3 linked regions of the Rhinolophus ferrumequinum genome follow. The protein of the gene in region 1 interacts with the protein of each later gene in a pairwise test. Links are inferred from orthologs where the notes say so. Each region holds a gene or a part of one and is shown on either strand. Other genes may lie near its edges.

Region 1 (7,466 bases):
CAGCCCATAGGTCACTAGCCTCTGCCTCACCGTGTTGCATTTCTCAATCAGCAGCCGGATCTCAGGTTTCACTTTCTCAATAATGTCGACCAGCTGCTGGTTGCTTTTTAGCATCCCATTGGGCATCACAAACACCTTGGTTCCTGGCAGGGACATGAAGAAGGCCAAATGATTGGGGTGGGGGGCAGGACATAGCACCCCCCGACCTTTCTTTCTCCCCAGGCCCATGAGATGCCATGACCTCTGCCTTTTATCTGTCACAACCCTATCTACAAACCATGACACCACCAACAGAATCAAAAAGAGAAAACGTATGGATTAACAAATGAATGTCTCAAGTATGCTCAAAGTCTGAAGAATAAGGAAATTAAAATATGCTCTAAAGACTTAATGTGCCAACTATTAAATTGAAAAGGAAAAAAATAACACAAACTGGGACTTCTGTGAAAAATCTGCAACGTGTAGCCACCCTCAACCTCTCTTCTTTGGCAGTTCAAGGTCAAACCCTCCGTTTACCGGAAAATTAGATTGAGAGTGCTAAATCATGACCATGTTTGGAAGACTCGGGAATGGGATCTCTGGGAAATAAAATCAGATCCTGCTTCCAGGCCAGGAGAACACCAGCTCCATCCTGCTTCTCAAAGCTGCAAGCCAGGGAGTGGGTGGGGTGAGGCAGGATGGCTCTTACCTTGCAAGGCCTCTTCACACTCATCCAACCTTCGCTTCTTGTAAGTGGGCTAAGGATGTAAAGAGACAGGAATTAGGCTGCTCGCAACACTTACATGCCTATCACAAGTTACTCTTCAAGCAAGTTTAATCCTTTCTGTGACGCCACAGTTATTAATTTAGGTACAACTTACTAAGCATATACAAGGCTTTAAGAAAAGGTTCTTGCCGCAAAGCAACTTACGTTCTCACTGGTAAAACCAACCTTTCAAGAAATATTACCATATTAAGAAATTAGAGGAGATGGGTGGATACTATAAACAATAGGAAAAAATAACTAGTCAATGTAGGGTAAATAAAATTAAGGGAATATGTACAAATCTGCTGGTTCCACAAGGAAACATAATAATCAACGAACACGTATTTAGCCCCTGCTATGTACTAGGAACAATGCTAAGTGCTGGGGATACAAAGATGATTAAGTCAGTTTCTGCTTTCCAGAATTGCAAGTCCTACCAGTGAGACAAAAATGCAGACAAAGAACAATACAGTGTCATCGGTGTTACAGAATGTGGACATATAACTAACTGATAAAGACTAGGCACTAAAGATGTACAGTAAAGATAGTGACTACAGTTATACACCAAAAAAAACTACTGATCCCATAACAAGACTCAAGACATTGAAACAGATACAAAGTCTTGCTTAGAGCCATGAGGACAGACCAGATAACCTGAGGGAACCGGTAGCTATCAGTCCTACTTGAAACTCACGCTAACACAGAGTAGCATTAGCAAATTCACCCCATGCTATAAATGAAAATCAGGGTCTAAAGGGGGTGTATTGGAGTCATCATGTCTGTGAAAGTCCTCATTCCCAGATCCAAATCCCACTGTCTCCTTTGTACATGTTCAAACTGACCAAGAAATAGAGGACAGAAAATCTATTGCTTCAGAACACAAAGATAAATATAGGACACTTACACCGTCCAGTCCATCATGGCTATTGGTGAGAAGAATGGGGTCAGGGACGGGGAGATTCATATCTGAGTGGATCTGAGTTAGGTCATGGATGTTTAGGATTTGTTCCTAAAAGAGAGAAGCCCACCCCCCAAAAAAAACATTAGTCTTTTCAAGATGAACAAAGAACGTGAAGGGCAAGAAATGAGAGAGCTTTACAGTACAAAGCAAACAGAATCAATACATGATTTGTCCCATTTGACAGAAGGACCAGGGCCAAAATAATTGGGGAATCTGCAGAAAAGAAAAAGGTCTCTCACCTTCAAAAAACTATCAAGTTCTAACAACTTCTTTGGGAAAAAATTTGCCACCAAGTCTTCTGCCTAAAGATGAGGGAAAATACATTAATAATTGTGGGATGGTCTCTCTCTAGTCATCTCTCCTTTGGGAAACTCCCAATTATTCTATTTATTTCACTCACCTCACTTGTGATCCGCTCCCTGAAAGAATCAACCTAAAATTAACAAAGAGCAATTCAGTAACAGAAAGTCGGTACCTGGCAAGAGGTATGGGCTGGGTAGGGAAACCCAAATCTAGCTGTCTTTCCCTCACCTTGTTATTGTAATGAGAAGCTGCGAGGCCCCCAGATTGCAAATACTTTATTTTTTTGAGGACCCATTTCTCCATCTCAGGAGAGGGAAGCAGGGCTTGAGGTCAACACCTGCCGGTCTTCCCTCCCTCCCTCCCTGTGTCTGAGGCTGTCTGAGTTTGAGAGCAGACAAAAGACAAGTAGATAGGGGAGGTGTGAACTCATAAACGTGCCAACCCCCATCCAGCCCCAGCCTATGACATGATGTAGGACTGACGCCAATGGCAGGGGCAGCGGCGGCCTCCGGAGGCGGGGATGTTGCGGGCTGGGAACATCCAGCTGTCACTAGCATAAAGCACTGAGTCGACCACGTGTCTGCGGAAGTCTCCCCGGGGCTCTCCATCACCAAACGAGGTACTGAGGGCCACCCTATATTATCCTCTCCCCCGAAGCCATCTCGGGAGTGGGGGGCTGGGCTGAGCCTAGCGGAAGCTCAGAGCTGGTGTCCCCAGAGAGACAAAGACGCCACGGGGTGTGGGGAGCCGGTCAGATTGCTCGGGGATCGAAGCAAGGGGTACGGAGGCCCAGACCGGTGCCGCTACCTTGAGCTTTACTTCCTGATCCACCTTCAGCAGCGAGGCCATGGCCGGGCCGGGCCGTGTCCGCTCCGCTGGAGACCGGAGGCGCTGTGGGCTCCGGGGAGGGGGTCAGAGAGACGGGAGGAATCTCGGCTGCTCTTGGGACGCGTCCGCCCTCGCTGGCTCACTCACTGTTCGCTCGCTCCCCCCCTCTGCCGTCTGCCCGCCTGCCTGGGGCCAGCTGCCTGCTGCCTGCTCCCTCTTGCTCGCCCTCCCGGCTTTCGCTGCTCACGACGGAAGTTACGTCACAGCCAATAGCCGGGACTCCGGGGAGGATGCGCACGTGCTCTGCGCAGCCGCGCTGAAGGTAGGTGCTGGACTCTCCCGCCCGGCTTACATCTCCCGGGATCTTGTGCCTGGTAAGGGGGCAGTAAGAGGAAGGGTGGTGGAGACTGATTTACTGAGAATTGAGTCTCAGAGAGACTCGGGAACTGTTTGACTCTCCGTTAGCCCGGCACTCGTCTTCATCGAAGAGACCTTAGCCGCTGCCTCTTCGAGGGCAGGACCGACGACGCCGTCGCGCCCCAGTGACGTCAGACCCAGGAAGCCGGCGGTCCCGGCGCTGGCTTCGCGGGGTCTCGCCTGTGATTCCTGCTGCCGCCTCTCGTTAGCCTTAGCTCTAGTGTTAGGCTAGGCTAGAGCCAAGCAGAAGACGAGCTGTGTTGTACCAGGCTTCCCCACCTTCCTCCGCCACTTATTCTCATACACTTTCAGACCTCTGAAATCAACTGCCTCGTGAGCAAATTGACACCCGGAGTCGTGTAGGCTACACAGTGATTCCAGTAAATCCTGGACCAGATACCCTGGTCTCCTGACTTCTAGGACAATCCTGTATCCATTTTCCTAGAGGAAGGCAGAAACTCTGTCTCTTCACTCACCCATTCATTCGGTCTGTCTCTTAACATTGATTACTCCGCTCAATAAAATGGGCCAGGACACTGCTAGGCTCTGGGACAATACTGCCTTAGAGTCTAGAAATTTAACGTGAGTCACTTATGTAAGTTAAAATTTTCTAGGAACCACACTAAAAAGTAAACAAGTGAAATTAATTGTAATCATGTTTAATCCAATTTATCCAAATATCATTTCAAGGTGTAATCAACATAAAACTATTAATGAGATAATGTACATTCTTTTTTGATACTGAGTCTTTTGAAATCTGGTATGAATTTTATACTTCATTGCGCATCTCAATTCAGAAGTGCCACATTTGCAGTACTGAATAGCCATATGTGACTAGTGCCTTGTGTATTGAACAGCACAGCTCTGGGAAATCAAAGGTAAACAAAACTCAAGTTCTCCGGTCTCATGGGGCTTAATCCTGGGGAAGGACACCAGAAAGTAAACTGACGACATAATTACAAAATTTGGTAAGCGTTAGGAAACAAATGACTGATGTAGAAAATATACCAGGGGTCTATTTTAGATAGAATGGCCAAGGAAGGCCTCTCAGATGAAGTGACAATGATGCTGAGGTCTAAAGGATATAAAGGGGTTAGCGTGGGAAGAGTGAGCGGATGAGCCTTCAAGGGTATATGTGCAGCACAGGCAAATACTTGAAAAGGGTCCTATTGAAGAAATGGAAAAACTAGTGAACTTGGGATAGTAGGGAGAAGGGGGTGGGGAGGGTTATTAGGAAACAATTGGGATTAAGTGCAAAGGCAGGTCAGGTCATCTGATTTACATTTTGGGGTCACCGTTGCTGCCGAACATTTATCCTGGGCAGGCCTCTGTGCTAAGTGCCAGGGAAATGGTGGGAATACATAGTTAAATGAAGTGCAACTGACTATGTCCTTTGGGATCCGAGAGACATGGCTTCAAATCCCACCTCAGCTCTTTACTAATTGTGATGGCTTGGTAAAATTACTGAAATGCTGAGTGTCAGTTCCCTCATCTGTCAAGTGGAATTTCAATCATTAATAAATAATGTGTAATTCTTTAAGGTTGTCGTGTTGGAAATCATACATATGTAAAAGAACTAGTGCAGTACCAGGACACAAGGCAGGTACTAGATACATAGTAGCCATTATCAGATAAGTTACCTGTTAATGCTTAGCATGAAGAGGTTACCCCTTAAACTATATAATTATCATCCCTGCTTTCAGACTCAAAAGTGCTTTTCCAGTTGTTCAAGGCTACATACAACATAGCCATTATTACCTATGTGGCTTATTAACATCTAACGTTTTCCCCTTTTTCCTCTTTTTTCTATAACACTTGTCCCTAGTAATTTTTAAATTCTGATCTGGAACCTCAGGAATGCTTTCCCAAATTAACTTCACCCTATTTTAAGTATGCCATTATCCTGCATTTCTTTCAGCATTAATAACTTCAACTTGAAAACTTACTGTTTGTGCTTGTTGAAATATGGCTTTGTTCTCAGATAATTGTGTTTTGTCTTCTTCAAGTAGGTTGTAATAAGACACACATTCCTTCTCTCTTTCCCTACCTCCTCCCTTATCCAAATGTTTTATATAATACTCTACTCGTTTGTTTATTTATTCAGTTGAATAAACAATTGCTGAAGGCACCGCTATATGTAACAAATTCTGTTCATTTCTGGGTACTTATGAATCAAACGTGATCACTGAGAACTGGTCTCACTTTAAATTCATGTCCACAAATCTCAAATGGGTGCACAACACTACCCGAGATCCTACTACATGCCTCTGACAAGTTTACTCTTCCGCACTCTGAATGTCTATCATAACTTCTCATCGCCCTAAACCTCCAATAGCCCTCCTCTCCCACCTCCAATTTATGGTCTTGACTTATTCTTCACTGAGAAAACAGAAGCAAATGAGCACTGCATTTCACCACCAAATCTGCCAGCCTGCAAATGCTTTCTGCCTTTCCTCCTCTCGTTGAAGGAAACATCCCATTCCCATCAAAAAAACCAACTCTTCATTTTGTGCGTTGGAACACATCCCCTTTCACTTTCTCAAGATCTGTGCTTCAGTGATTACCCATTTTTCCTGTATTACATTTATCTCTGTCAACTGGACCTCATCCAAACATGATAAATATCTCCCATCTTGAGAAAAACCCTCCCTTGAACACAGATTCCTCTCGCTATCACTCTGTTTCTGTGCTCTGCTTTATGGCAAGACTTCTTGAATGATACTATTGTCTCATGCTACTTCCTCATCTCCCATTTACTCCACTCCAATCAGGCGTTCCCATTCCATGTTATCACTGAGATAGTTCTGGTTAGGTTACCAATGACTTCCATATTGACAGCACCAGGGGTCACTTCTCCATCTTTCTTGAATCTTTCAGTACTCAACACCTGTAGGCTGGTGGTCCTAAATTTATTTCTCCATTCCTTACATCTAACAGCTCCAGTTGTCTACTTGACATCTCTACTTGGATAGCTAATGGGCATCTCAAACTTAATATGGCCAAAACAGAATTCTCAGTTCTCCCACATACCTCTTTCTTTCCTGCTCTTTCCCATCTCAGTAACTGACATGACTGTCCACCTAGTTACTCAGACATCTAATTATCAACCTTGATTCCTCTCTTTTCCTCATCTCCCCACATTCAACCATTAGCAGTTCCTGTGAGCTTTACCTGTATAATGAATCCTGTATGAGTATGCTTTTCTCCATCTCCTCACTTGTTATCCTACTCAAAGCCATTGTCATCCTTTGCTAACACTATTACAATGGACAATCGAGTCTCCATTTTCACTCTTGCCACCACCCCCACTGATACATTCTATTCTCTGCTCACACCCAAATTATCTTTTAATATGTCAACCATAGTTATGGTAGTATCTACTAAAACAATAAATATATAGATACATATTTCTATATATATATGTGACTCAGAAATCCGAACTCTAGAAACATACCCAACAGAAATGCATAAATATATTCACCAAGAACACAAACAAGAATGTTAATAACACCACTATTCACAATAGCCTCAACTGACAACTGTCGACGAGGGTTGTGGGGAGCGAGGAGGGTGGCGCAGGGTTAAGAAAAGACTAGCCATGAATAGAGTGTAAGTGTGGCCAAGGAACTCCAGCCTCAAGGACTGGGCCCCGAATGGGGCAAACGCCTAGTTTTTATTACTTAGGTGGGGAAGTAAAGGAGATAAAGCTTGTCAATCTCAAGATCTGTGAATCCCACACATCACAGCAGGAAACTGATTCAAGCCAATCACCCCTGCCTGCAGGCAGCTGAACTTTAAGTCTCAGGAAGTATGTACTTCCCCAAGGGACAAAATCTTTATGCATATGAATAGATGGAGAGCACACCATTGAATCTCTTCCCTTGCAGGTTGTGGGAAGGAATGCAGCCACAGAGGCAGAGGCTCTCCGTGGGGGGGGGGGGGGGGTAGGGGATGTGCCCTCCTCTATGAACCCCGTGGGTTCTCCTGTTGGTCCCCACTCGACTGCGCCTGGCTTCAGTTGTCCGCCCCCCGCACCCCCCCCATGGGGAATCTTACTCATCATTGGCTGACGAGCCATCTTTTTGGGGCCAAACAGGGAGACATAAGGTGCAAGCACAAAGGTGAAGCAAAGTCCCTGAAAGGATCTGGCTCACAGACTCTCCTTTCTTTAGGGGCAGGTACATGGGGACAGACGGGTAGGCTGCTGTGTGG
Region 2 (7,942 bases), on another chromosome or scaffold:
AGAGAACATCAACTATAAGTATAATTTTAATCCTATTTTCCATTAGTGTACTTGCTAATATTTTCTAACACCAAAGCTTAACAACCGTTTTTTGGGGGGAGTGGCTGCACTTGATGCCTCAGACCATCTCCGTATAGTTAATGCCCATGAACTCATCATTTTGTGACAGCAAAAAGTGGTATCATTTACAAAATTTAGAAATTTCAATGTTTATTCCCTTATCTGGATATAAATTGTAAAACTAGTACTAGCCCAAATCCAAAATTTATTCGGTGAGTCCTGTTACTCAAACTCTTCTACCCAGTGAAACATCTGCTGCAAAGCATTTAGCTTATCATTTACAGAACATCCCATGTCTTCCTTACCACATGCAGATTATTTTTTTGATAGGTTTTATTGCTAAGGCCTGATAAATGCTTTTGAAAGTCTTAGTAAATTACATTAATTGGCATTCCTAATAGACACATGAATAAACCTTCAAGAATAATGGTTCCTACTATTTATTTTCTGCCATGCACCAAATAATGTGCTAGGTTGTTTATGCTACTTTATTTAATCCTTAAAAGACCCTGAAATTTAGATATTAATATTATCATTTTACATATTAAAAAACCCGAGGCTGAGGGCTTAGAGAATGTTCCCAAAGTTACATTACATGTATAGTAGAGGCCAGAACTCACAAGTTTTTCCAAAGCCTCAGCATATTGGACTGGTATAATTACCCCTGTACATAAAGACAGAATGTTCCTTTCTCCCAGATTACACTGACGTTTATGCACCTGCTCTGTATCAAAGTCAGATCTCCCATTCTATAGTTTCTTTCCCTCACTGCATCCTTAAGAGTGAGGATATGAGAAATGAACCTATTATCAAGAATAATGGCTGGTTTTGTTTAAATAAATCTAAAAAGAGTTTGCCTGCTTCAACAAGAATAAAACTAAGGGCTGAAAACTGTTCTAATGTCTTCCACAGGACTAAGAGTATATTCAAAGATCTGGGTTTATTGTGGTTGTTATTGTTTTATTTTTGTTTATTTTCATTCTTGTAGATGGATCATCTGATTCTGAAGACACAATTCCTGCATTTTGAGAACTTTTATAAATGAAAAGCTCTAAAGCACCTGCAAAGTGCTTTTCAAAGGCTCCTTTTATTCACTTAATTTGGGGTTCATGGCCTTAAAGAGAGTATATACCCAAGTTACATAAAAACATATTTTGAGCAAATTTTTATAATCTTAAACCTTGTAATTTGAAAAATTAAGACTACTGCATACCTGATTAAAAAAAAAAAAAGAAAGAGGAGAGGAGATAATATTTGAGAGAAAGGCAGGGAGAAACCAGCTAAGAACTATAATACACTTTTATAAAATGGGACTGAAGAAGGAAAGAAACTGCATAGCCAGCACTAGGTATCTCACTATGGGGAGCTTTGGACAACAGAGTAGAGAGAAAAAGAATAATCAAGGGTCACTGTTTAAGATCTTCTGCTTGCAAATATCTCCTCCATTTATTCTATCAATTGGATATTAATTTTGCTTAATAAATCCCTTTATAAAATGTAAATACAGAGGGTGCCAAAAAATGTATACACATTTTAAGAAAGGAAAACTATTAAAATTGTAATACTTTATACTGATAACAAAAGATGAATACAAGTCACGTGTGACTTCTGCAATTACAAGAGGTGCTCAAAGTGGTTACCATCACCATCCAGTCACTTCTGATTATGGCGAAGTTCTGCTTGAGCAACGTTGAACAACTTGTCCACTTGTATAAATTTTTTTGGAACCTCTGGGACATCCTTGGAATGTTAGAAATCTATTGGTTCTTCATACCTTTACTGTGAGTTACTATAATTAGATTGTCTAGAACTTAAGTAAACTTTTGGGGGTTGTAAGTTTCAGTTGACGCATGGAATACTTCAGGATAAAACAATAAAGACCTGTATACGGTCTGAGGACAGAATAACTGTAAGAAAAGTGGAATGATGAGACACTAAGGAAGGGCAGAACTGGTGAAAGAAAGTGAAAAAATACTTACTTTACTAATTTTGCCATAGAAAAAATAGGTTATGATTCAATGATCTCAAAGTTTCCTTTCCACTCTATAATTTTATGAGGGCTATCATGCAAAGAATGAATGTTTTACATACCAAATCATAATATGCTATACTTTTCCTTCCTGTAGTGTATACCATCCAACCATTAAAGCAAAAGACCTCCCTTTTCTACCTCAACAACATAAAAGTGCATAATTTATCAAAACTCATTCCAGAGGACGACCAAAAGGAAATCAAAGGGAGAAATCATAGGGAGGTAAATATCTTTCCAATAAGGAAATCAATAACACACCCTCCAATACTTTGATAATCAATATTTGCTAATTTACTGAGTGAAATCAGGGGTCCAAAAGAGATACAGATTATTGAAATAGTTTAGAATCTCTCCCTAGGAACGCGCTAAGTAAGAACCCTCATTAGCCAGACACAGAAAAAGTGAAGGAGACACTATTTCCCCATCAGCCTCAAGGCATTTCCTTTCCCCTGCATAACGGCTCCGTCCTTTGCTCCCTTCCATTTGGCACCTTACTATTTTCCTTTCCACCTCTGCATCATCCATCAGTTACTACTGTCTTCAGTCACCCTTGGAGATCTCCACAAAGTTTCCCTTTCTTCCTGCTGGTTTCACTTATATCTCTCTGTCAGGGTTTTACCCACACCTGCTCAACTCCGGCTTTTTCCATCGACCCCCTAGGACTCCAGGTCCGGTAGTGGATCGCGCTGGGGACCCTATTCTCCCGCAGAATAAGGTGGGTCGATGGGAATACAACTCGGAGACTTTTGTGCCTCCACACACCCACACCCAGAGCTCCCCCTTTTCCACCGGGATGTCCACACTCACAGCGCACAGTGTGGAAGGCGCAGCGCGGTTGCTTCTCAAAACTGGCGCCTAACTTGAGAACCCGCTCGCGACTGTCGATATGCCAGGGTCCATTCATGGTTATCCTTCGGCTCCGATTTCGCCTCCGACTCTTCCTCCGTCAACTAGCGCTCCCTACCTTCTGCCACCTCAGCCTAAACCAGCTGCATTAGCAGCAGCGGGCGGAGCTACGACAGACTCCGCCCCGCCGCCCAACGCGCGCTCCCCCACCGGGCGCCTCTCGCGTGCTGATTGGCTGGCTGGAGAAGGACGCCCCGCCCCTTGGCTCCGAGCTCGTGGTCCCGCCTCCACGCCCCTTCCCGCGTTGCGACGCTGGCCGCGGGGAGAACGCCGCGCAACTGAGGTGCGTGGTGGGAGAAGGGTTCCTTGGTGGAGGAACGCTGTGCGAGAATGAGGTAACGGACCTGAGGTGGTGGCTGGGGACTGAGACGGCCTCGAGGTACCAAGAGGCCGGGATCCCGCACCTCTGGGCCAAGTGACCTGGAATGTAGGAGCTCTTACCGGGAGAATCGGCCTACTTCACGCTTTCTGTGGAGATCTAGTGTGGAAACTGAGGCCGGGGGAGGAGCGGATTCTGGGTCCAAGGCCTGGTAGCGCCAAAGCTGGGCCTAGAATCCGGAGTACAGGAGCCCCGCGGCCTCAGAGCCTGGGTCTTTGGACCTGCCTGGAAGGTGACGCCGTTACCTAGGCAATCGTTTTCAGACCTGTTCTAGGGGAAGTTCCAGGTACTATTAGGACCGACAAGGTCAGGGCACGTGGAGGGTGGGGCAAAAAAGATTAGAAGTTACGAACTTCACATGTTTAGGATCAGTTGCAACTAGATTGCATTGTGTTGTCTTATTTCTTTCTTTCACAGTGATCCGTGGAAGCAGTAACTACACGGCCAGAAGACCAGATTCCCAAAGTATCAAGGCCGGAGCTCGTGCTCTGGAAAACAGGGTAATAGTATTAGTAATTGAAAAATAATTGTATTTTTTTCCTGTCAAAAATTCATGAGTTTAATGGTAAAGATGAGAGAAGTGTTGTATCAGAGGACAGTCACTCTAAAGGAAGTTTACAAATGGTTACCATAACGGGTGGTTGTTTTTCAGCATAATTATGTAATCAAACTCTTCTCCCTTACTGAACTTCTACTTTAGCCAAACTTACCAATTTATTCCAGGCAGGTAGATGAATGTGTCTCCCGTAACCTGCTTGTTCAAATTCGACCCTTTTAAGGCGTACTAAGGGTGTTTCATGGGGCAGTTAAGCGCTCAGATTCTGGAGCAAGAATCTTTGGGTTTGAACTCCCGCTTCATATTTTATAGTATGACATTGTGCAAACCAAAGTTAAGTATGCTCATCAGTTGTAATTGGAAGGGAAATAATAATAGTACTTACACCTTAGAGTCGTTGAATTAAATGAGTTAATACATAAAAGCATTTAAAACAATTCATGGCATATAATAAAAGCTCTCCAAATGGTTATTATTCTTGAGTTTTAACTCTACTGTCATGCAACATTTTAGGACCATCCTTGGTGCCTGCCTTTTATTCTAAATCTTGAATTATTCTATTATCTAGGAAGTAGGAATTGCTTTTTTGTTTACTTTACAGATGAGAAAACTGGTTCAAGGAAGCCCAATCCTCTGACTCTATGGTCTGTAGTCTTAACTTCTGTGTCATCTATTTGGCCTAACATATTTTGTATAATTAAGTATTTTATTTTACATATACATATTTGTGTGTGTGTATACTTTTCCTTCCCAACCAGACCATTAACAGGGAGTGTGTCCTATATAAAATCTTTGTGACCATTGCATCTACCATAGTGCTCCACACATGTTTGGTGATGATAATAATGTTTCAGTGATGTTTTATTGTGGTACCCAGAAGGCAAGGACAATGTTTTAAGCCTATTTTACCTAAACAAGGCTTCCTACCAGAAATCTGTGGTTTACATTTTATAACAAGAAGAAGAGCAGAAGGTCAAGAAATTGAGTTTAGGAATACCCAAAGTTTGTACATTTATTCATTTTTTTCAACATATATTTATTAAGTACCTACCTACCGTATGCAGGCACTAGTCTAGCCTATGGGGATATAGCAGTGAACCAGAGAGAAGAAGGCAGCCATCAAGGGTAGTCTGAGTTTCGCCTTCATGAAGCTTACCTTTTAGTGTGAACTTTTTCAAACATGTATTAAAATGTGTACTAGCCTAGGAATAAGCAAATAGATTAATGAACTAAATAGAATCCAAAAATATACCCAGGTGGCACTTCAGATTGCTTCTGTTATATCTATTCATCATTAATTACCTCAGGAATTTATGACAGCTATGTGCATTTGTTCTTTTTTCACTAATCTATAACCTCATCTAACTTAAAAATTTTAGATTCCTATCTTACACCATTCACAAAAATATCTTACAAGTGTATTGAAGACATAAATAAAGATATAAGTTAAATAAGATATAAATAAAACAGAACCATAAAACACTAGGAAAAATTAGGAGAATAAATTTTAGCTCTTGAGGTAAGTAGGACCTTTCTAAGCATGACACCAATGGCAGAAGCCATAGAGGGGAAGATTGTTATACTTGCCTACATAAAAATTGTAAAACTATGGTGTAGGCACCATAATCAAACTTTGAAAAATAAATGGCAGACAAGAAGAAAGTGGCTTACAGTCAATATAAAAGATAAAGTGTTCTTAAAGCTTCTGCAAAAGAATAAGACAAGTCAATAGAAAAGTAGTTGAGGGATACAAACAGAAGATACATAAAAGAAGAAATAGCAGTGGATATGAAATGTGCCTAACCTTCCTAATAAATGAATACAGATTTAAAAAGATAATACCATTTTTCATCTAGCAAATTGGCAAAAATATAAAAGATAATGATGTATTAGTAAAGGTATAGTAAGTGAGCACCCTTGTACATTATCGGTGGAAGTATAAATCGGGACACCCATTTTGAAGAAAAATTTGGGATCATATCAAAATTTAAAAAATATGTATCTTGCAACCCAGCCATCCACCTTTCAGGAAAATTGATCCTACAGAGTACTAGCATGTGTGCATAAGGACATTTTACATTGCTGTTCGTTGCATCATTGTTTATCATAGCATACACTCTGAATAACTTACAATAGAGAGGATGTTTACATATACAGTAGTCTCCCCTTATCGATGGGGGATGTATTCCAAGACCCTCCATGTATGCCTGCAACCATAGATAGTGCTGAACCCTAAATAGGTATACTATATTTTTTCCTATACATACATACCTATGATAAAGTTTAATGTATAAATTAAGTACAATAAGAGATTAACAATAACTAATAATAAAATAGAACAATTATAACAATGTATTGTAATGTTATATGAATGTGGTCTCTCAAAACATTTTACTGTACTGTACTCATCTTTTCACTTAAAGGAAGCACTTTACAGCTTCTCTTGGACATATCTCAATTGGCCAACATCACCACTCTTGTGCTTTGGGGCCATTATTAAGTAAAATAAAGGTTACTTGAACACAAGCACTGCAGTACCATGCCGGTCAATCTAATCACTGAATAGGCTACTAGTAAGTGACTGACGGGCAGGAAGCATGGAGACTCTGGACAAAAGGGATGATTACATCCAGAGCAAGAGGGAGAGGGACAGTATAAGAATTCATTATGCTACTCAGAATGGTGTTGCAACTTAAAAATTATGAATTGTTTATTTCTGGAATTTTCTATTTAATATTTTTGGAACATGGTTGACTGTGGGTAACTGAAACCATGGAAGGTGAAACTGCGGATAAGGAAGGGGGGACTACTGTGTTTTGACGTACTCTTACAAAGGAAGCATTGCATAATGCAGCCATCGGAAAGAATAAAATACCTCTGTAGCTACACCTTTGGAAAGTTTTATCTCTGCTGTGTGCCAGGATGTGCTGGGATTTCTTTAAAATATTTCCAGATTTTTTTTTTTTAATGATTTGTATTTTACCTAATAAGGGATGCTTTTTGGATGTCTTTTATTATGGCCAACTTTTCAATATAAAGGATGGGAAGTTACGAAGAATAATAGTTAAAAAAGTGAGTTAGAAGTAGGTAATTTTGGAATATGTTTTGTGGTTTTTATGTTTTACATGGGAAGGAATATTAGGAACATTGTAATTAAAACCACAGACTTTGGAGTTAGACTGATCTGGATTTGAATGCTGACTCTACCACATCATGGTGGAACCATGTCCAGTTTAAATTCTTCAAGCTTGATTTTTCTCATCTGTAAAATGGAGATGATTACAGGCTCTACCTTGTAGTCCTGTTGTGAAGATTAAATATGGTAATGCTTATAAAAGTACTTAGCACAGTGCTTAGTTCATAGTAAACACTTAATATATGTTAGCTTTTGTTAATTATTACTAAGTAAAGAGTATACTTTTTTAAAAATATGATATCTTTGATCTTTGAATACCTTAAAACTTTTTTATAAAGGTAATTTTAGAAACAAATTGAATTAGGATGTGGATTTTTTTAATTTTAAGATTATTGATTTTATTCAGTATGCTATTTATAAAGAAGCTTTGGCTATCTTATAATTACATAACGTTTCTGAGTTGTGTGTTGGGGATCCCCAAGACCAACCCCAGGTTCAGTGATTTGCTAGGAGGGCTCACACTTCTTAAGGTATAGTCATATTCATGGCTGTGATTTATTATAGTGATGAAAAGATGCAAAGCAAAATCAACAAAAGGAAAAGACCATGGGACGAAATCCAGAGGAAAACAGGTGCAAACTTCCAAAAGTCCTCTCTTAGTAGATTCACATAGGACATTCTTAATTTCTCCTGCAATGAGTTATGACAACATACTGAAGTGTTCTCTACCAGGGAAGCTCACTAGAGACTTAGTGACTAGAGTCTTTATTGGAGGATGGTTGTGTAGGCATCCTCTGCTGTCATGTACCAGAATTCCAAACTTCAGAAAGGAAAGCAGTCGTTCAGCATAAATCACATTGTTTTTTACAAACA
Region 3 (7,657 bases), on another chromosome or scaffold:
AGCCCCAGAGCCTCCTAACCTCTGCACCTTTGCTCCTGCCAGAGTGCCTTTATTCACTTCAGCCCTTTCACGTGTCTTTATGCCTCCTTCCCACAGCCTGGGAGCTCCTGAGGGCAGGGAACAACAACAACAACAAAATCACAAAATAATATTAACCAGTCCTCATGCTGGGCACTCCTGATGGGTTAACACTCTCCTGCAGCCCCTCAGCCAGTCTTTGCAACTGCCCCTTAAGGTGGATATCATGAGTCTGATTTAAAGATGAAGAAACACAGGTTCAGAGTGGACCTGTGATTTGCCCAAGGTCAGCAAACCAAGAATAAAAAGGACCCTCCTTCCTGCTTCTTCCCATGGTTGACTCCTGCTCTTTCTTAAAGTCTTCGTTCAGTTGTCACCTCCCCCTGGAAGCCTCCCTGGGCCCCCAGGTGTGGTCACGTGCCTAGTCTGAGCTCCCACAGCCGCCTGCGTGTTCCCCATCATGGCCCTAAAGCGGCTGCCGGTGCATGTGTGCCAGGCCTCTGCTGAGCCCACTGTGTCCTCAGAGTTGGACAAATCTCTGAATCTGGTGCTGTGACTGCACCCATCTTATAGATGAAGCAACTGAGGCTCCATCCAGAAAGTGGAGATTCCTTCTGCCAGGAATGACATGGGGCTCCCTACCCTCAGGGCAGCAGCAGATAAGGCTAAAACCCTCCCCAGCCACACCCCCCCCACATACACGTGTGCACACAGATTCACACCAGGAGTTTCTGTGCGCAGACGCCCACCTCTCCCATGCAGGCAGCCAGCCAGCCGGCGTCTGCAGGGCTGACCCTTGTAAATACATCCTCCCGCTGGGGCCAACTTGCTGCTTCCCTCAGCGGGAAGGGAGGTGTGTGTGTGTGTGTGTGTGTGTGTGTACAACGGAGGCAGAGGACTGAATTTGTTTTAGGAGCTTCCCGCCTACCTTCCTTCTGCCTCCCTGTCTGGGGGGGTGTCGCCCGCCAGGGCCCTGTGACCCTAACCTCAAGTCCATTACCTTGAGACGATGCCAGTCCCCCACCCTCGGGGCCCTTGGTATAGTTACGAGAGCCCTCCAGGCTTGGCCTGCAGTGGGGACGCCAGCAAGTTTCGTCCCTTCATCCTGTCCCCGTCTGGGCCCGCCCACCCACTCTCCTTCTTAAATGGCCTTGGGAGGATCTCGCCTGATAGACAAGATGGGCTGGGGAGAGGTGGATCACGGGTACGTGGGAGTTACGCCTGAGCTTAAGGCATGGGAGGCGGGTGTTCTGGTCACCGCCACCACCAGTCCCCCAAACCGCCTGGGCAGTGGGTAAGCGGGCAAGCGAGGGGTTCGCGGAGGCTCCTGGAGAAAAGGCTTTCTCTTTCCTCATCTTCCTCCCCACCACCGAAATCCCATTGCGCACGGCAGAGGCCCAGAGAAGGGGGTCATTTGCTCTGTGTCACACAGCTCGGTGGGGTGTAAGGTCTGTAATCAGGGATGCAGGTGACGCTTGGTGGTTCTGGGGTGACTTGGACCTGGCACCCTAAGCCGCACTCAGATCCCGCCCGGCGGGGCGACACATTCAGAAAATAGAAGGCGCTGCCCGCCCGCCTGTGAGCAGAGTATGCCCCCTGCCGGTCACGGCCGGAATCGGCGCAGCCACGACCTCGGGGACCAGGATCCAGCCCCCACACCTGCTAAGCTCCCACTCGGGATAGAGCCTCCGGCTCCAGGCTGAGCCCCAATTCCGAGCTGCGCCTCTGTTCCTCACTGGGCTCAGGAGCCCCTCAGCTCCCTGGACAGCTGGGGCAACCCCACTCAGACTGTCCCAGGTTCTAATATCACCTCTGTTGCGACCTGGCTGAGTGGCCTGGGACAGGTCACTTGCTTCCTCTGAGCCTCAATTTCATCATCTGTGAAGTGGAACACTTGTAATCCCAGGGTTACACTGTGACGACTCAGTAAGTTAATTTATGTAAAAACTGCCAGCTGGTCAAGCCTTTCTCAAACGGCATCACTGAGAAAGTGTAAAAATGCTAACAGAGGATTCAGTGAGTCAATTTATGTAAAATGCTAACGGTGACTGCCACGTATTAGGCGCTCAATAAATACTAGTTATCACATTGTTGCTATTATCACCAGATGTGCTGCTGGGCACTTGAAAAAAAACCAACCAGGTTTATTGAGACATAATTCACCCATTCAATCCACTCAGTTAAAGTATACAATTCAGTGTTTTGGTATATTAAATTACTCATTTCTAAAATTGTGGTAAATATGTAACATGAAGTCTACCACTTTAACCATTTCTAAGCACACAGCTCAGTGGCATTAAGCACATTCACACTGCTGTATCACCATCACCACCATCAATCTCCAGAACTTTCTCATCTTCCCAAACTGAACCTCTGTCCCCATGAAACACTAAGTCCCCACGTACCCCTCCCCCAGCCCTTGGCTCCCACCATCTACTTCCTGTCCCTATGAATCCGACTCCTCTAGGGACCTTATATAAGTAGAATCACACAGTATTTGTCCTTTTGTGTCTGGTTTATTTCACTGAGCATAATGTCCTCAAGGTTAATCCATGTTGTACCATGTGTGTCAGAATTTCCTTCCTTCTTAGGTCTGAATAATAATATTCCATTGTCTGGATGGACCACACCGTGTTCACCCATCATCTGTGGATGGCACTTGGGTCGCTTCCACCTCCTAGCTGTTGTGACGCTGCTGTCAACATTGCTGTACAAATATGTTTGAGTCCCTGTTTCCACTCCATTGGGTGGATAGATACCTAGGAGTGGAATTGCTGGGTTCTGTGGTAATTCTATGAGCAGCTTTCTGAGGAACCCCTGAACTTTTCCACAGAGGTGGAACCAATTTATATTCCCACCATCAACGTTCAAAGGTTCTAATTCCTTCACATCCTCACGGGCACTTTTTCTTCATTGCCTTATTTGTGGATCTGTAGGGTTTATTATTCCTGTCACAGGTGTGGAAAACAGGCTCGGAGAGATGAACACACGCAGGCAGATACGGACAACGCCAGGATGGAACCCGCCCGGGCCACACTCCACGCCTGCCCATGCCCACCGGGCACTCACCAGAACAATCTGCTCTGGTGTGACGAGGTGTTAAAAACAGCTTCCTCCGCCTCTGTGACCCTCATTAGCTACCATCATCCAAATAAGAGGTCTCCATAATTTGGGGCTCGGGGGCAGGAAGAAATGGATCTATAACAGTAGGTCTCAACTGGGGCAATTCTGCTTCCCAGGGAATACTTGGCAATGGCTAGAGACATTTTTGGTTGTTCTGACTTGGGGTGGGGGTGGCTACTCGGGCATTGAGTGGGTGGAGGCCAGGGACGTTGCTCAACACCCCACAGTACACAGGACGCCCCTCTTACCCCACAAGCAGGAATTACCAGCCCCAAGGGTCAACAGTGCTGAGGATGAGAAACCCTGGACTAGAGAGAGTAGGACGCAGCTGTGGGTGGAAGGAGGTGGGCCAAGCAGTCCTGGGTTTGAATCCTGGCCCTGCCATTTGTGCTGCATATCCCCAGGCAATTCACTTCACCTCTCTGGGCCTCAGTTCCCCCTCCAAAATGGGATAAAGAGACATTTCATTTATTTTTGCCTTCTGAGGTCTGTGCCAGGGTTGTGTGTCCCCCACACGCAGGACAGGACTAGGCATTGACCAAACATTTGTTGTCTAGCCTGCTCTGGCCTTCCCTGGCTCTAGCTGCAACTGGGACCCCCAGGTTGGGGTTGCGGGGAGGAAACGGAGCGGCAGGGGGGCTGGGAGCCGCTCCTGGGCCCGGTTCCCAGGACTCACAGCTGCATCCTCTGGGGGGGGGGGGTGCCCAGCTGGCCCCGCGGCCCCACCCGCTGGCGGCCAGGAGGCTTATTCCCACGGAAATTGAGGATGGATCTGGGATTTCCCTGGTGGGGTCTCCAGGGCCTGTCCACTTAACGACTGCCTCAAAACCTCATCCTAAGAATTTATCAGCAGCCAAGAAAGATTGATCTTCAACTCTGGGTCAGATTCAGCGCGTCCGGGGGTAGCGGAATCTGCATTTTTAAGGGGCTTCTGATGTAAAGCGTTCCCAGGCGTACTTTAAGAAACAAGCTCTGCGCAAATTCCTGTTACTCAGGTGGGTAAACTGAGTCCCAGAGGGAATCGGGGGCCGGTCCAAAACCGCAAAGTTGGTCTGTTTTTCTTTTTGGCTCAGCCTTCCTCTCTTCTCCCGGGTCTCTGTTTTCGACTCTGTCTTTTTCCTCCCCTTTTCTCAGCGGGGCCCCCAAAGCAGCCGCGCCCCCAGCATCCGGCCCCTTCCGATATTCCGGAGGAATCCCCCAAGCCGCCTGCCCGTCCCAGGCCCCGCCCCCTCCCGTGGCAATGAGCTCCTCCCATTGGCTTCTTCGTACACCGCCCGCCCTACCATTGGCTGAGACCATGTCTTCGGCCCACCCCCTCACCATCCGGTTTCTCTTAGGTCCTTTCTTCGTGGGAGGGGGCAGAGCGGGGGGGCGTGGCCCTGTGGGGGCGGGGCGATGTGGGGCGGGGTTGAGTTTCCCGCTCCGCCCCGCGCGGTTATTAGGCGCAAGTCAGGAGGCTGGCTCAACGGCCCCTCGAAGGCGGCGGGACGGAGCCTCGGAGGTCGGACCTACGACGGGCCCCGGAGAGCAGGTGACAGAGCGATGCCTGGTGCACCTCGGGTGCCACCTAGCCGCCCACTGTCTCTCTCCCGCCCCCCCATTCCCCTGCAAACCCCACTCCCTCCCCATCCCTGTCTGAATTCCTGCCTGAATTTCCTTCTCCCTCTTCCTGGCCCTCGCCCTCTGTTTCTCCCTTTCCCTCTGTGTCTATGGCACTCTCTTGCTGTATGGGTTATGGGGAGGCACAGTGAGTCTGAAATGCCCTCCCCCCGGCGTGGGGCGGTTTTCTGGGACCACTGCCCCCACCCCACCATGAGGACTCGGATGGACTCTGCTCCTTGCATCGTGCAGGGCGCCAAGTGCTAGGGCAGATTCCAGAGTCAGGAGGGCATTTCAGGTGGTGGGCAGCCTGGCCAAAGGTGTGGAGGTGGAAATGAGTGTGGCTTCCCGCTGGTCCAGGCTGTTGGGAGAGCCAAGGCCAAGCCCACCCAGACTGGCCATCTGGGAGTTTCCCAGTGGCCTGAAGCCTTGGCCTCAATTTTTCCAGCTGTGAACTGGGACTGTCACCCGCTAAGGTAATTGGTGGGTGAGCGGTCCCATATCTGCAAACATCACTACCTCTTCTATTCTGGGGGCCCTCTGGAGGGGGTGCAGCCCCATATGTAAACAGGCCTCTTGAATATGTCTGAGCCCAGCTGAGGAAGGTGAAGGCCCTGAGGGGCTGCGGCTGAGTGAGGGTAGTTTGGCAAGTGGTTGGGAGGTCAGATTTTGAAATTAGACAAACCTGGGTTCCCGCTCTGCCACTCACCATGGTACCTTGAACGGATGATTGGATTCTCCCAGCCTCAGCTTCCAGTCTGTATAATGGGGTGGGACATAACTCCCTGGGGATAAGGGCTGCTTCCAGGGTTAAATGCAGGTATGTGGGTCCTGCTTGTCTCCTCCTGGCCCCCAACTCCTCCTACTCTCCCCCTCACTCACTCTGCTCTAGCTGCAGCAGCCTCCACATTCACACACCAGGCATGGTCTTGCCTCAGGGCCTTTGCACAGGCTGTTTCCTCCATTGCCATGCCAGGCCCATAGGCGCCAACTTTAAAACATAACAACTTGCTGAGGTGGGCCGGGCCAAGGGAATGCCAGGCAAGGGCTGGGTGGCTGGGAGGGGCGGAGGAGGGGCCAGCCCAGGGACGCTGTACCTATGGAAACCGGAACAAAGAGCTGTGCCTCAGCCACACAAACACCTGGGCTGTGCTTCTATCACTTAGCAGTTCTGGTGGCCTGGGACTCCAGTGGTGGGTGAGTCCCCAGATCCCTGGGGGGCAGGTGTGGGACTCTACCCTGCTCTGATGGGGGTGGGGTGGGGTCGGGTGGGGGGACAGGACAGTAGGTCCCTAAGCTAAGAGATTAGTCAGGTAGGTGCAGATTTGAAGCCCTGTGCTGTCCCCTACTGCTGTGTGGCCTTGAGTATGTCAGGTGTTCCCTGAGCCTCAGTTTTCTCATCTGAGGCCTGGGCAGGTGAGGGGCCTTTTGGTTACTTGGCATTCTGAGGAAGTGGGTTCAGGGGTCTTCAAGTGTCCTTGTCTGTCAAATGGGGTCACGAGAAGATGCCTAGGACAAAACTCCAGCTGTTGGCATGGAAACAGCCTTCTCCCAAAGTCAGATGCTGAATAATGATTCATGCTTGTCTGGGTGCAGCCCCAGGTGTTAAGGATGGAGAGGTGGGGGCCCAGAGCTGGCAGGACTTGGCCCAGGTGCACAGTATGCACACCTCCCTTGGGATCCTCTACACCCCATCCACAAGACAACTTCCTCTGGAATCCCACCCTCCTGAGCTTTCACAGAGGCAGCTCTGGCTGAGTTCTTGAGATCTTCTGAAGCCCTGTTCTCCAGGCTTCAGTTTCCCCTTCTGTCCAGTGGGGTGGTAGAGGTTGGGGAATGTCCACTTGGGGGAGCCCCACCCCCAGAGGGTCTGGTGCTGCTGTGCTAGCTACTATGTCACCTTGGGATATCTCAGTCTCTCTCTGGACCTGTTTCCCTGACTAAACAGTGGCGTCCTTGAAGGCGATCTCTCTGCCCCTCTGGTACTGAGAGATCGTTTATTCATTCAACAAACAAGTTCTGAGTACCTACTGTGAGCCAAGATTGGGGGTTGGGAGAGAGCCATTCATCCAGAAAAATCATTATACTTAATTGCAACTGCATGAAGATGATGGAGAGTCAGATGGATGGGGAAGTTAGTTTAAATGGGTGTTCTGGGAGGGCCTCCTGAGCAGACTTTTGAGCTGAGGCCTGAATGAGAGCAAAGAAACAGCCATGTGGATACCTGGGGGGACGGGCATTCCATGCGAGGGGAGGGCGCGGGCGAAGCAGAGTGAGCAAGTGCGACAGGGAGGAAGTGAGGGCAGGCAGGGGACAGGGCAGGTCGTGCAGGGCCTCGTGGAGGATTTGGGCTTTAACCCAGAGGATGGTGGAGACGCTGGAGGGCTGTGGGCAAAGGAGGGGTGGGACCTGACTCAGGTGCTCAGAGGCGCCCTCTCGTGGCTGCTGCGGGGAGGACAGACATGAGGGACTAGGGGACGAGGGCGGAGGCAGTGGAGAGGTGAGAAGTGGGTGCAGCCAGGACTCATTTAGGGGTGCACCCCTATTCTGCCATGTGACCCTGAAGCCTCCACTTGCTGTTAAAAATCTTTTGCTGAGCCTGAGTCCCAGTCTGTCCTGTCCTTCCCTCCATGGGGTTGGGCAGTTTTCTCCCAACATTCATGTTTGGCCCCCAAACTTTCTTCAGTGGAAATCTCACAACAGTTGAAAGTGTCCTGCCTTCCACTGCAGCCTGCAGGTGGTCAGACCCTGCCCGTCCTAGGGGTGGCCCCCAAGGGCTCTGGGAAACCCACTCTGAGAACCGCTGGTGTCTCCCCCTCCTTTGGCAAGTAGATGCCCCTTTCCCTTTGGCCATATCTAAAATGGGCACTGACTGAGCCATCTGAGTGGTGGTTAATAAAAGGCTCGATGCAGTGGT

Evidence for each region. The genes of interacting proteins can lie anywhere in the genome.
Region 2: the proteins of PSME3 (region 1) and EAF2 interact in binary tests that used the Homo sapiens proteins (3 or more experiments, as listed by UniProt). The two-hybrid records come from large-scale screens. The link is inferred for Rhinolophus ferrumequinum from reciprocal best matches to the Homo sapiens genes PSME3 and EAF2.
Region 3: the proteins of PSME3 (region 1) and TNFAIP8L1 interact in binary tests that used the Homo sapiens proteins (3 or more experiments, as listed by UniProt). The two-hybrid records come from large-scale screens. The link is inferred for Rhinolophus ferrumequinum from reciprocal best matches to the Homo sapiens genes PSME3 and TNFAIP8L1.

What each region holds. Positions count from the first base shown.
Region 1 is NC_046304.1:38,472,071-38,479,536, reverse strand, and holds the start of PSME3 (proteasome activator complex subunit 3), read right to left. Parts: upstream 3,087-7,466; 5' UTR 2,859-3,086; coding exon 2,817-2,858; intron 2,140-2,816; coding exon 2,107-2,139; intron 2,009-2,106; coding exon 1,946-2,008; intron 1,755-1,945; coding exon 1,650-1,754; intron 738-1,649; coding exon 689-737; intron 144-688; coding exon 31-143; intron 1-30. UniProt on the Homo sapiens protein: Subunit of the 11S REG-gamma (also called PA28-gamma) proteasome regulator, a doughnut-shaped homoheptamer which associates with the proteasome. 11S REG-gamma activates the trypsin-like catalytic subunit of the proteasome but inhibits the chymotrypsin-like and postglutamyl-preferring (PGPH) subunits.
Region 2 is NC_046285.1:46,765,474-46,773,415, reverse strand, and holds the start of EAF2 (ELL-associated factor 2), read right to left. Parts: upstream 3,073-7,942; 5' UTR 2,997-3,072; coding exon 2,900-2,996; intron 1-2,899. UniProt on the Homo sapiens protein: Acts as a transcriptional transactivator of TCEA1 elongation activity. Acts as a transcriptional transactivator of ELL and ELL2 elongation activities. Potent inducer of apoptosis in prostatic and non-prostatic cell lines.
Region 3 is NC_046301.1:59,152,971-59,160,627, reverse strand, and holds the start of TNFAIP8L1 (tumor necrosis factor alpha-induced protein 8-like protein 1), read left to right. Parts: upstream 1-4,585; 5' UTR 4,586-4,672; intron 4,673-5,853; exon of another isoform or gene 5,854-5,937; intron 5,938-7,657. UniProt on the Homo sapiens protein: Acts as a negative regulator of mTOR activity.